2 linked regions of the Kluyveromyces lactis genome follow. The protein of the gene in region 1 purifies or fractionates together with the protein of each later gene. This does not show direct contact. Links are inferred from orthologs where the notes say so. Each region holds a gene or a part of one and is shown in the gene's direction. Other genes may lie near its edges.

What was found. The genes of interacting proteins can lie anywhere in the genome.
Region 2: the proteins of PAB1 (region 1) and CDC33 purify together in Saccharomyces cerevisiae (affinity purification with western blotting; 7 studies listed by BioGRID, with this or other methods). This does not show direct contact. The link is inferred for Kluyveromyces lactis from reciprocal best matches to the Saccharomyces cerevisiae genes PAB1 and CDC33.

Annotation. Positions count from the first base shown.
Region 1 is NC_006039.1:1,550,261-1,558,250, forward strand, and holds PAB1 (polyadenylate-binding protein), read left to right. Parts: upstream 1-3,061; coding exon 3,062-4,840; downstream 4,841-7,990. Other genes in the region: chromatin-remodeling ATPase CHD1, read left to right, coding at 1-2,207; E2 ubiquitin-conjugating protein UBC13, read left to right, coding at 5,613-5,642, 5,744-6,193; aminophospholipid-translocating P4-type ATPase DNF1, read left to right, coding at 6,878-7,990. UniProt on the Saccharomyces cerevisiae protein: Binds the poly(A) tail of mRNA. Appears to be an important mediator of the multiple roles of the poly(A) tail in mRNA biogenesis, stability and translation.
Region 2 is NC_006041.1:1,874,377-1,881,158, forward strand, and holds CDC33 (translation initiation factor eIF4E), read left to right. Parts: upstream 1-3,301; coding exon 3,302-3,934; downstream 3,935-6,782. Other genes in the region: RTC1 (Rtc1p), read left to right, coding at 1-1,816; KLLA0_E20989g (uncharacterized protein), read right to left, coding at 1,846-2,706; VNX1 (calcium/hydrogen antiporter), read right to left, coding at 4,361-6,782. UniProt on the Saccharomyces cerevisiae protein: Recognizes and binds the 7-methylguanosine (m7G)-containing mRNA cap during an early step in the initiation of protein synthesis and facilitates ribosome binding by inducing the unwinding of the mRNAs secondary structures.

The DNA of each region.
Region 1 (7,990 bases):
ATTTGATGACTGCTGACACTGTCATCATCTTTGACTCTGATTGGAATCCACAGGCGGATTTACAAGCTATGGCAAGAGCTCATAGAATTGGCCAGAAGAATCATGTCATGGTTTATAGATTTGTATCCAAAGATACAGTTGAAGAAGAAGTCTTAGAGCGTGCAAGAAAGAAGATGATTCTAGAATACGCTATTATTTCTCTTGGTGTCACAGATGGTAACAAAATATCATCAACCAAGAAGAATGAACCGAGTGCCGGTGAGCTTTCCGAAATCTTGAAATTCGGTGCTGGTAATATGTTCAAACCAAATGATAATCAACAAAAGTTAGAAGACTTGAATTTGGATGAAGTTTTGAACCATGCAGAGGATCATATCACAACTCCAGAGCTTGGGGAATCGAATTTGGGTGGAGAAGAATTCTTGAGACAGTTTGAAGTTACGGATTATAAAGCTGATGTTGATTGGGATGACATTATCCCCGAAGATGAACTCAAGAAACTAAAGGATGAAGAACAAAGGCGTATCGACGAAGAATATGTCAGAGAACAGTTAGATATAATGAACCGTAAAACTGCTGCCATTGATAAGATTAAGAGATCTGTCAACGGAGAAACGTTTGGGAGTGACTCAGAAGACGAAGGTAACTCCAAATCTAGAAAGAGATCTAAAGCTAACAACTTGGACGCTTTTGGTGAAAGAGAAATCAGAGCATTATACAAGTGTATTCTTCGATTTGGTGATATTGAAAACAAGTTTGAAGAGCTGATTGCCGATGGATCATTACCCGTAAAATCTATTGATAGATATAAAGAGCTTTACCACGAAATGATTACAGAGGCAGAAACTTTGATGAGAGACGAAGAGGCTAAGAGGCATGAAATATTTAGTAAGTTAGAAAAGGATGCAGCCGAATACAGACAGAAAATTAAAAACTTGGAAATTAAGCCTGAAGATGATGCTGGTAAAGAAACTCCTATCACTCTTTTATCTGCTAAAAGAAGAGAGAAAAGAGCCATCCTATTCGAATTCCACGATACTAAAGCACTAAACGCAGACACCCTTGTTAATAGACGCGACAATCTAAAATTCTTATCCAATTTTGTGGAAAGAAACTACAAAGACGACCCGTTACAATTCAAGTTCGTGAATAAGAATCCAAAACCTGTGTCTGCGTGGAATTGCGTATGGGGTAAAGAAGACGATGAGAAGCTGTTAATCGGTATCTATAAGTATGGTTACGGTGCATGGATGCAAATCAGAGATGATCCGTTTTTGGGACTAACTGAAAAACTTTTCTTGAACAATGAAGTTACTCAGAAAGCTGCCACTCCTGCAGCACCTAGTCTCACACCATCTGCTCCAGGGGCATCTGTTGCGGGGTCTTCAACACCTGGTGCTGATGCTGTAAAGACAGAAACTCCTGACACTACGGCAAACACACCAATCGTGACGGCGTCTTCTGAAAACACTAATAAGAAAACAGTGAAGAAAGCTCCCGGTGCTGTGCATCTCGGTAGAAGAGTCGATTACTTATTCACTGTCCTAAGAGACGAAGCTAAGGGTCCCCAAACTGATCCATCTCACCCTGCCGGCTCTTCGTCAACCGGAACCACGACGCCTCAGCAAAACAAACGTAAACCAAAGAAGTCTGCTACTACTGCTGGGAACAGCAATGGGAACGAAAATGCCCATACCGCTGGTACCCCAAGTGACGGCAATAGTGTTAACTTAACCGGCAAGGACTCTACACCAGACAATAGCTCCGAAACAAAGCGTGGCAAGGCCCATCACCATCAACAACCATCATCAAGATCTGGTACGCCTGTCGTCGGATCGAAAAAACAGCAGAGGAAAGGTAAAGACATACCGTTGGCACCAAAAGCCGATATCCGTCTTCCTGACAAAGAATACGACAGTATGGACGAAGAAGAGTGTAAGAAAACGATGACAAACGTCCGTAGCTCACTCAAACGTCTAAGATCTGGAGGAGACGGTCTTGAACGTAAGCAATGGGCTAACCTATTGAAGAAGGAATTGAAACGTGTTGGTGACTACATCGAATCGCACAAGAAGGACTCGTCTAAGACCTCTCCAGAAAAATATAAAAGACATTTATGGTCTTTCACTGCATATTACTGGCCAAGAGATGTCCCATCTTCCAAACTCCTGGCGATGTACGACAAAATCAAAGCCTCTGAACATTAATTAGTCAAATGTAACAAAACATAGAGATATATACGCCTATCAATTTACGAAAAAAAAAAAGATATCTAATCAACAACATATTGCTATTAGTTATTATTACCTTCATAAATGACATGAGGCACAAGGGCGCACCAGAAACAGCCGGCTGCTAGTAAAATACCTGGTTTGTTGTGGTGATGCCTCAGATCATTTCGCACGTACCTACCTTTCCTTTTGTGGAAAAGCTTTAAACTCTTTTTCAACTCTTTAAATTTTTCAATGAAAATTTTCACTTTTTGGCTAACTCATCACAACAATTAAGGACTGTTCTCACAGAGATGGATGAATTATATAACGATTTTAAATAAGTTCTTGTGATGTTGTTTCATTTATTTAATTTGTTATAAGTTTTTAGTTATCTTGGTTAGTTTATACTGTTTCGTTTGTTACTTATTTGTATTACCTTTCTGGTTCAGTTATTGTAACATTTTATTTTGTGCAATTTGTTTGTTTAAAAAGACCACGGTCAAAGTCAGCAAACTCTCTAAAGGTATCATCTGTATCCTGTATTTTAATTGTTTTTGGTAAAAGAAAAGAATAAGCGTGGTTTATATCTTTTTAATATTAGTCAAAACATTCCAGTTAGAAGTCTTTTTGAATTCAAGTTAACTAAGGGTTTTTCATTTCCATCCATCGTTAAATCAAAACTTAATAGTTTCATCAAAGGTTCGCAACTGTGTGGGTATTAAACAAAACAATACACTAAAATACACATTAAAAAACCATAAAAAAACATATATTTTAAAAACACATTACAAAACCAACCAACCGCCATCTTTTTCGGTTAAATTTATCTCATCTCATCTCATCTCATAATGTCTGATATTACTGAAAAAACTGCTGAGCAATTGGAAAACTTGCAGATCAACGATGATCAGCAACCAGCTCAATCTGCCAGTGCTCCATCCACTTCTGCTTCTGAAAGCGAAGCTTCTTCTGTTTCTAAGGTTGAAAACAACAACGCTTCATTGTACGTTGGTGAATTGGATCCAAACATTACTGAAGCATTGTTGTACGATGTGTTTTCACCATTGGGTCCAATTTCCTCGATCCGTGTTTGTCGTGATGCCGTCACCAAGGCTTCGTTAGGTTACGCTTACGTTAACTATACTGATTACGAAGCTGGTAAGAAAGCTATTCAAGAATTGAACTATGCTGAAATCAACGGTAGACCATGTAGAATTATGTGGTCCGAACGTGACCCAGCTATCAGAAAGAAGGGTTCTGGTAACATTTTCATCAAGAACTTGCACCCAGCCATTGACAACAAGGCTTTGCATGAAACTTTCTCCACTTTCGGTGAAGTCTTGTCTTGTAAAGTTGCTTTAGATGAGAATGGAAACTCTAGAGGCTTCGGTTTCGTTCATTTCAAGGAAGAATCCGATGCTAAGGATGCTATTGAAGCCGTCAACGGTATGTTGATGAACGGTTTGGAAGTTTACGTTGCCATGCACGTTCCAAAGAAGGACCGTATCTCCAAGTTGGAAGAAGCCAAGGCTAACTTCACCAACATTTACGTCAAGAACATTGACGTTGAAACCACTGACGAAGAGTTCGAACAGTTGTTCTCCCAATACGGTGAAATTGTCTCTGCTGCTTTGGAAAAGGATGCTGAGGGTAAGCCAAAGGGTTTCGGTTTCGTTAACTTTGTTGACCACAACGCCGCTGCCAAGGCCGTTGAAGAGTTGAACGGTAAGGAATTCAAGTCTCAAGCTTTGTACGTTGGCAGAGCTCAAAAGAAGTACGAACGTGCTGAAGAATTGAAGAAACAATACGAACAATACCGTTTGGAAAAATTGGCTAAGTTCCAAGGTGTTAACTTGTTCATCAAGAACTTGGACGATTCCATCGATGACGAAAAATTGAAGGAAGAATTCGCCCCATACGGTACCATCACCTCTGCTAGAGTCATGAGAGACCAAGAGGGTAACTCTAAGGGTTTCGGTTTCGTTTGTTTCTCTTCTCCAGAAGAAGCTACCAAGGCTATGACCGAAAAGAACCAACAAATTGTTGCCGGTAAGCCATTGTACGTTGCCATTGCTCAAAGAAAGGATGTCAGAAGATCCCAATTGGCTCAACAAATTCAAGCCAGAAACCAAATCAGATTCCAACAACAGCAACAACAACAAGCTGCTGCCGCTGCTGCTGGTATGCCAGGCCAATACATGCCACAAATGTTCTATGGTGTTATGGCCCCAAGAGGTTTCCCAGGTCCAAACCCAGGTATGAACGGCCCAATGGGTGCCGGTATTCCAAAGAACGGTATGGTCCCACCACCACAACAATTTGCTGGTAGACCAAACGGTCCAATGTACCAAGGTATGCCACCTCAAAACCAATTCCCAAGACACCAACAACAACACTACATCCAACAACAAAAGCAAAGACAAGCCTTGGGTGAACAATTGTACAAGAAGGTCAGTGCCAAGATTGACGACGAAAACGCCGCTGGTAAGATCACCGGTATGATCTTGGATCTACCACCACAGCAAGTCATCCAATTGTTGGACAACGACGAACAATTTGAACAGCAATTCCAAGAAGCCTTAGCTGCTTACGAAAACTTCAAGAAGGAACAAGAAGCTCAAGCTTAAACTTGATTTTTTGACCTTGATCTTCATCTTGTCCTTTCTATATCTTTCCCCCGAAGAAAAAGAAAAATTAAAAAAAAAAACGAACAGCTAACTATATGAATAGTCTCAGCTTCACGCATTGGAACTGGGTGGTGCTAATTAGCTTACGCATTGTTATAGACCTAAACTAGTCGAAATAAACTACTTTCTGCCACTCTTCTTTTTCTCTCGCTTTTTTTTTTTTTGTTCATCACAGGCTTTCCATTGTTGCCAAAAATGTTGTGCTTTTAATCTTTACCAATAAAAAAAATTACCACGCTCCACATATACCATATTACCACAATCCATCACATCACTCTACCCTTTCTCCATACCGCTAATTCAATCCGGAGGTATGCCCCATTTTTCTCTTCAAATTTTTTCTTACTGATTTTTTCTATCTAACTATTATTGTTACTCTACCCGTTTTATATAATACTAAAGCTCTAATGGGAGGACATTAGTAGTCTTTTTAATGAAGAGGTTTTTCGCATTTTCAAAAGGTTTTTTTATCAGTCTTTATATACCTTTCTCTGACAGTCATCAACATGGACGGTATACTGTCCTGTGATGATGATGATGATGATGATGAAGTATCACGTGACTTCGCATTGTCTTTTTCGATATCGAATAGTTTCATATTAAAGGTCTTGAAGGCATTTAAGGCACTAAAAGCTTTAACCCTTTTTAAAATCAGGATCTATTCCTGATTTTCTACGGCGGATCGAGTACCGATCACCCAGTTCAAAGTACAATGGCAGCATTACCCAAGAGAATTATCAAAGTATGTTGAAAATTTTTGGAAACTTACACGTTCTTTTCTATCTGAGTATTAATTAATAGCGTTATAACTAACCAAGAAAAAAAAAAATATCATTTACACAGGAAACTGAAAGGTTAGTGAGCGATCCGGTCCCCGGAATCACTGCAGAACCACATGAGGATAATTTACGTTATTTCCAAGTGACGATAGAGGGTCCGCAGCAAAGTCCCTATGAAAATGGGGTCTTCCAACTAGAATTGTTCCTACCGGATGATTATCCAATGGAAGCACCAAAGGTAAGGTTTTTGACAAAAATATACCATCCCAATATCGATCGGTTAGGTAGAATATGTCTCGATGTTTTGAAAAATAATTGGTCACCTGCCCTTCAAATCAGAACAGTACTTTTGTCCGTGCAAGCCTTGCTTGCATCTCCGAATCCGAATGATCCGTTAGCTAATGACGTCGCTGAGGAATGGATCAAGCATGAAGATACCGCAATTGCAAAGGCAAAAGAATGGACCAAACTTTACGCCAAACCTACTCAGGATGAGGAACCAGCAAAAGAATAACTCGAATTTGCAAATGATCTTAGCTAAATTCTAACTCACACATACCATATATTTATATACATGAACGTATATATTCACTAAACTAGAGGATTAGCTGGAAACAGAATGTTAAACCCACTGACATATACAATCAAAAGGCTTTTTGTGTGGTGTAACTGCCTTCGTTTTCTTGTGTCAAGTGTTCCTGTTTCTCCATTAATCATCTAGAAACGGCTTTCTCGGAAATACTTGACATTATAGGAAAGGTTTTCAAATTAAAAAGGCTTTTCGAAATTTTGAACAAAACATGTTCTCCATTTCTGAACCACATTGAAGTTTAATTCTTGAGAGTATATTAGTACAGGACACTCAGCTGTAGTCCATTGCTGCTGACATCCGGTACTAATAACTCAGATTTCGATTGTCTTTCAATACTGTACGATTACGCACTTTTAATTTGAGCGGTTTTTTGAGTGCATCTTTCTGTCTCGACTCTCTCTATTTGAGTATATATCAGAACATTATATTTCACAGGTTAATACTGGGTTAGAAAAGGGTGAACAACATCGAAGTTAATACATCTGTAATACGTGCTCTTGCCAGAATCATACCAGTGCAAATTTGTGTCTAGTTGAGTGATTTTTCTTGGCTGGAAAGGAGTATTGTTTCGTGGTTTGTGTGCTTTGAGGAAGTAGAACATCAGGAATGACTGGACCAAAGAAAAAGGGAAAGGACTCTGATCCTTATTCTGGAAGTTTTAAGGATGATAGTTCGCCAGATTCACCATTTAATGATAGGTTTGTGTTTGAACAGGGAAATCAATTTGCTTCGAACTTGGATGGAACCATTGATAATGAAGCAGATGGTTCTAAAACTAAACTGAAAGGTAGACAAGGTTCTATATTGAAGAATGGATCAACGTCATCGCCCTCAAAGATTGGTAAGAAAAAGAACCAGCAGCTAACGTTTGGAGACACTGGGAAAACTTCTGATTTGAAGAATGAGGAATTTGAAGAGATCAGTTTTGAGACCACGGGAGCGGACGACCAAAGATCATATGTAAATACGCCAATCATCAATCAAGGTAACTTTGCAGTTGACGAAGAAGATGAAAGAGAAAAAGATAGACAGTTATCCAGTGCAGAAGATTCCAAGCACGTGAAACGTATGCGTTGGGGTACCAGAAGAGATAAGAAAGGTAAGCCAGCGATGGGCAGAGCTAAGACCCTTCGTTGGACCAAGAAAAATTTTCATAACCCATTCGCTGATGATACGAACCTTGCAGCGGAGGGTCACAGCTCTGATGACGATAATGACGAAAATTACGATAAATCCCATAGACAACGTGAAACAAGAACAATTTACTATAATCTCCCTCTACCGGAAGATATTTTAGACGAAGATGGTAACTCTACCATATACTACCCTCGTAATAAGATCAGAACCACTAAATATACACCGTTGACTTTTTTCCCAAAGAATATCGCATTCCAATTTAAAAATGTCGCTAATGTATATTTTCTTGTCTTGATTATCATGGGTTTCTTCCAAATTTTTGGTGTCGCAAATCCAGGTTTGGCTACTGTGCCATTGATTGTTATTGTGGTGCTCACTTCTTTCAAAGATGCAATTGAAGATTCGCGTAGAACTATATTGGATATGGAAGTGAACAACGCTCCAACACACATTTTGAAAGGTGTCGAAAACGTTAATGTGTCCAACGATAAAGTATCTTTGTGGAGAAAGTTCAAGAAGGCAAATACTAGGGTGCTGTTCCGTTTTATTCATCTCTGCCAGGAACTCTTTACCGAAGAGGGT
Region 2 (6,782 bases), on another chromosome or scaffold:
CTCAGTGGATTCTAAAACGAATTTGATGGAAAAGTTGGGGTTATCTGAAAATAATACTTGGACTCATTTGATCAAATATACGAAATCTCACGACTCTGACGAAGTCATATCGAAAGGCACAGAGCTTAAAACACCAGTTTCTGACAAAAGTGCTAATATCGAAAAATCAGCTACGAATCATAAAGCTGAAACCAATCAGGATGAGAACAGTTCCTGCATCAACTCTTCAAACCAGGTAAAAACCAAAAACCTCATCGAACTGATAACTCTATGTGATAAGAACGCTGAAATTTATATCATGCTTGAGGACTTTTCAAACTACAAAATTTGGCTTCTAATGCGGGATTCATTATTATGGGACTTGAAAGTCCTAACCGAGTCAATGGCTGTTGACGTGACAGCTGACCAAGAAGTCAACGATCAATCGTCCATTGACCAACCTTGGAAAAAAAATGACAGTTTTACTAGCTTGAAAGAGGCAAGGCAAGCATCTGTTGCTAGTGGCTACAGTTCATATAGTGCTACGGATCTGAGCTCCTCGGTAAATACAAATAATAGACATTCTTTCAACGAACCCACTCATCTAACCCAAACTCCTCCAGTATCACATTTAAAGGCTCAACTTCAAGGTTCAAAAGAAACTACGACTATATCGAGGGCTGACTCGATTCAAAATTCGTTACAGAACGATATCATCGAAATTAGAAAGCTGCGTCAATCTCATGGAGATAGAGCAGAACTAGCAATTGATGAAGAGGAAGAAGGAGAAGAAAGAGAGGAACTTACAAAAAGGGCGTTCGAAGAAGATGAAAACAATAAACAATTCATTAATATCCCAAGAAGGGAATCAGGGCCTAGCGCTCTCATGCCGAGTCCTTCTCATGTTTCCTCACAAAGCGAAATTCCTTCAAATCCGGAAAACCATCACCAGCCACGTCGGCCGCGGACATCTTTTATAGACTCCTTCATGTCACAATTACGTTCTCCAGGATCGTCAAATGTTGATGCTGATAGGGAAAGTACTGGTAGCAAAAAATCTTCCATGCCAAGCTTTAGCTCTTCGGCTGCCACATTTTTGAATAGCAAGAAATCGCAAAACGCGAATCATAATAAATTGAAAAGCGCAACTGAAGTATCAGATATATTGGAATCTGAATTTGCTACTCAAAAATCATGGAACGGGAGCGTTGCAAAAACTACAACTCAAATGTCTGGTATTACTGCTCTTATGAATGAAACTAAAAAACTGGAAAATACTATTACCCCACCTTGGTCATCAAGGCGATTAATTCATCAATTATACGAACAGAGTGTTGCTTCAGGAAATATCCTACTAACGATGGCAATTTTGTTATTATTTCAAGATATGTTTCAACTTGTTGATACAGAGACAGTTAAGAATTCTATAGCGGAATTTACCGAATTATTGCACCGGTACGAGCTATTTGAGATTGCAGCGGAGTTGATGAAAAACTGTCCTTACGAGGATATTTCTAGTTCAAGTGCTGGCTTTTCCTCCATTCAGTTATTCTGTGATAAATGCAATAAACCTTTAGTTAACGAATCTTCCAAGGAGAAAATAATCAAAGAAAGACTTGAAGGAAATTCAAGTGCTATGTCCAGGTTTGGATACTGGTACTGCGATTCATGTTCTAAGCGCAATACTCTCTGTTGCTTCTGCAATAAACCAATGAAGAGCTTGGCTATTTCTATGCTTAACTGTGGGCATGAGGGTCACTTCGAGTGTTTGAAAAAATGGTTTTTTGACGAAAACATGGATGTATGCCCATTGGGATGCCCAGCAATCTTATTCTGAAGTCAATTTCCTGTTAATTCGGATCTTTTCTATATCAAGTTATGTTTTTGTAAGAACTCTTTAACGACAACCCAATACCCATCTTGTATTATCGTGTCGTTATGGGAACCGATAGGGAACTCAATAAATCTTTTGCAGCTCGAGGGACATAGTTTATACAATAATTTCATATGAGGGGGTGGGACAATCTCATCTCTTAAACCAGCAAGAAACAAGAAAGGTAAAGTATCATCTTGTATGTTGACAATTTCCTGTTCAGAATCCCAGACTTCATGACACATGAATGCCACATTCTTCAGCATTGGGAAAACGTATGGGATAACTTTGCGAATGGACAGGAAAGTATTTTCTAGGATAATGGCATCGCAGATATCGGTAAATTTTCTAGCAAGATAAATGGCATTAGCGCCACCAAGGGACCTCCCATAAAGTATTAGCTTCCTTGATTTATGAAATTCACTGTTTGTCAAATGGTCCATGACGGTATCTGCGTCTATCTTCAATCCTCTCTCCGATGGGAACCCTGTTGATAACCCATATCCACGATAGGAATACAAAAAAATGGACAAATTAAACTCATTATAGAGAAACCTAGCAACGGGCAGGAAATATCCTATATTCCCCGCATTGGGGCAAAGAACAAGCATGGTTGCAGTCGAATTTTCATTCCTTATATCAAATGCTTTCAATAGAACACCATCCGAAGTCGTTAAAGTGAGATCTTCATAAGGCAAACCGTATTGATCTGGCGTATCTACATGGTCTCTAGCACCTTGTGCCCAAGATGGGTATATAAGCTTGTTTTGGTACAAATATAGAGCGCCCAGTGAAGCAGAAACAATGACAGCTGCGCTTCCGAGTACCATTTTCCCAATTTTGTATAAATGCATACTAGAAGGAAAATGTCGCTTTGGCAAAAAGAAATATGTTACGACAAACTATCACCTTGATCAATAAACTTTCTATTCGATGGATATAGTGACAGCAGCTACGTTAATGAGGTGCTTGTCATAATTAAACTCCCTTTAATTTACATAATACCGATATCCTGCTAAAACAAGCCAGCTACGGTTTGTATTTCAATTCGCATGCTTCGAGAGCATGAAAAACTCCAGAAAACTCAATATTACCCGTCCTTTGAATATAATCACGTGTATTGACAACTGATTCATGTTTTACCCGGACAAGTCGTAACGTCATTACCCTCTCTTAGAAGAAAGAAAAAAAAAAATTTGTAGCAGTGACAGCATAGTACAGGCAGCAGCTGCGAAGGTTTTCAATTTTGTTAACTATGGGAAGTTGGCAAATGGAAGAAAAAATGAAGTTGGATTAACGAATGTGATATCAAAGATTGGATTGACTCTCTGCGCATGTTTAAGATTTTTCGAGTGTTTTTTACTCGTAAATGTATCTGTATAAGACCAGAGGTTACCTGATCAATTTTGAACCTGAAAGACATCGATCTTACGACCAAAGAAGAATATCATGTCCGTTGAAGAAGTTACTCAAAAGACCCAGGATTTAACTGTGGACGAAGCCAAGCCAGCTACTGTTTTATCTGATCCTAAGGAATTTCAATTGAAGCATCCTTTGAGTAGCAAATGGACTTTATGGTATACTAAGCCCCCTGTGGATAGTTCAGAATCGTGGTCTGATTTATTGCGTCCAGTGACCAGTTTGGATACTGTCGAAGAGTTCTGGGCTATTCAAAATGGTATTCCAAAGCCATTCGATTTGCCAATCAAATCTGATTACCATTTGTTCAGAAACGATATCAGACCTGAATGGGAAGATGAAGCCAACTCTGAAGGTGGTAAGTTGTCGTACCAATTCAAGAACAAAAGACATAACATCGATGATTTGTGGTTGAGAACTCTATTGGCCGTTATTGGTGAAACCATCGACGAAGAAGAATCAGAAATCAACGGTTGCGTCTTGAATGTCAGAAAGGCTGTTTTCAAGATTGCTTTGTGGACTAGAACTACCAACTTGAACGCTTTGACTAACATTGCTACCAAGTTTAAGCAAGTTCTACAACTTGGTGAAGGTGAAAAGTTGGAGTTCTACAATCACAGAACTTCTAACTCAGGTCACGCTCCTCCAACCGCTCTATTGTAAATTAGCACATCCCTCCTCATTTCAACACTCAATAAATTAAATCAACATTTACCAAACACTGTCGATGCAAGGGATTATGAGTATAGTTAGAAATCTGTTTTGGACAGGCCTCATCTGATCGCTGTGAATCATCTCAATTTACCTTGACCACATACCCAAAGGGAAAAAAAGCGTATAAAGGGAATCTTTATGGTGCATCACAATCTCGGTTTGTGACAGCACACTTTTGGTATTTTAAAATGGTTGGATTTCACTCTTTCGACATCCATTTCGTGTCCTGCTAATCATAATTCCTTCGACTATTATTCGTAAACTCTTTTTTAAATGATATGTATAAATAATTAACGTGTCTGTTTATTCTTTATTTAAAGTCCTCTCCTGTGTAATTATCAGTGGATTAGTATCTCCACATTTCATTCTGTCAGTTTAGTTTATGAATCTAACGAAAAGAGATATATCCCAGAAATCATCATCTATTATTTCTTGCAAATAGAACCCGAAAATGACAACCAGGTATAATAATATTAAAATGCTTCCTTTGAAATAATTCGATTTCCCCTCTGCATATAAGTAAGTGAATAGAAACACTGACACTACTGATGCAAGTAAATCCCATCTGGGAAACACCATCGGGAACATTCTATCTCTAATGCTAATTTGAGTCAAATCTTTACCCCAAACGTATAGCATAGAGAATATGACTAAGGCTGGAATTTGTAACAAGCATACTTGCAATGCATAAGCACTACCGATTTCCATTGAAAGTGCAACATTACCATTGACTGCGAAAGAAATAGCATTTAAAAATTCTGTGGTATTAGGAACAAGAGCAAAAATGGTCAATCCCAAAAATTTTGGATTCACAGCTGGATATTGTTCGAGGACCTGATCCACGCAATCTACTAATATTTCTGCAATAATGGCATACAAGAAAGTTGCGCCTAATAGAATACATGTTGATTTCGTTTTAGACCAATTTGGTGCGTCGTGGCCACTACTTTGATCACAATTATTGGTCGCTTTCGCTGCATTATTTGCTCCAGATGTGCTACTTGTGACACCAAGAATATTGGAATTGGTTTTATTTAATGGAGCAAAGGAATTTTGGCTCATAGACATGCTAGTAGTCAGCTGACTTTGATCATTGTTCACATCTTTCGTTTCAGCAATCGGTAATTCCCAAATCAGTTTAGCGTGCGTTCTTAATGTGAACCACATACCGATAATATATTGAAGGAACAATGCAACCGTACAGAATAGTACAATGGGTCTAAGGATAGCAGAGTACATTTTGTCAAACTTTAATTGAGGCTGTACAAAATGACATTTCTCTCCATTTTCATTGCAAAGTAAATCCCACTCACCATATATTTCATACAACACTGATGGAATAAACATAACTACCATCGAGAAAATTAACATCGCGCAAGAAACACCGGCACTGGCGGGGTTATAACGCTGAGTTTTTCTTTTGAAAGCGCCACCACACATGGACATACCAGGTAATAATAGAACGGCAGCTAGAATAGATCCAATCAATGAACCTTCCACTAGTAGACCTTTCTCTTGTTGAAGTGCGACACAGTATAAGAAAATCTCGACAATGGTGGAGAAAAACGCATTAATTACAGCTGCCACACCCATCGAACTCTGAGCTGAAATAGAAGCAACTGCTTGTCCGATGTAAAATGCCAAAGGTATAATAGACAATAAACACAACATGAAAATAGTAGATCCATCAGTTAGCCAAGTGTCGATTTGCCAGATATTTTTAATTGCATAAAAGTCGAATATGGTGAATATAACCAAGGCAATCAAGTTCATGACCATAACGTTAGTACCATCCACTGTGAATTTATAGTAGTGTAACCCAGCGCAACGGAAGGTGCATAATAAGACATTTTGGCCTTTGATATCTTCGATTGGAGTGGTTGCCACTGCTGACGTAGCACTTTTTACGTCAATGATTCTCAAAGCCAAAGGATGTTTTCTGCAATGATACATTAAATTCCACAAGATATTACTCATTGGAATAGTGAATACAAACAACCAAGTTGTTAGGGACAGCAACATCACAACTGGTTGAACGACAATGTGGAACATGAAATAAAAAATGAATCTGCCAATTGTCCATTTACCACGCCCAAATAGACGACGATGTAAATGTCCGTTTTCTTCGTCACTTTGATCGTCGTTTGTGTCAGTTCTCTCTGTAATTATAGGTATTGATCCATACGAATCTTGTCTATGGTTATTAATGTTGTTTCTTGCCGTGATTATGTTATTGCTGTTATTGCGAGTGGATGTGTCATTATTACTAATGTTGGCCCTGGCGTTTTGGCTGGAAGAAAAGTTATTCGAATTATTTGTGCTGGCATTATTATCATTGATAGCTTGTGATTCATGAAAAAATAACCGATTGCTATAATTGGTAATCCATTTGTAGAATTGCTGGGCACTGATACCTTCGTCCTGATCTTCTACAAGATATTGCGCATCTGATTTCATCAATACAATCTTTCCGAATGGCCAGAGTAAATAGCGTCCCAACCGATAAAACACTAAAGAATACTCGATCGCAGATCCAGTGAATCCTCCAAAGATCAATACTAAACATGAAGCCATTGTGAAAATCAAAAATAAAAACAGACCAACAGTGAAAGACCATATTAAATTAGTGATTTGAACACCAAGGGTAATGTTTCTGATTTTTGTTTCATGGATATCCTCATCTGCAGCTTGCTGCACTGATCTTTTCTTCTTATAAAGAGCCGGTTTCCATATCCTAATACCAAACGGATGTGTTTTATTAATCGCTTCTTGTCTTTCTCGTAACGTATACGATTCA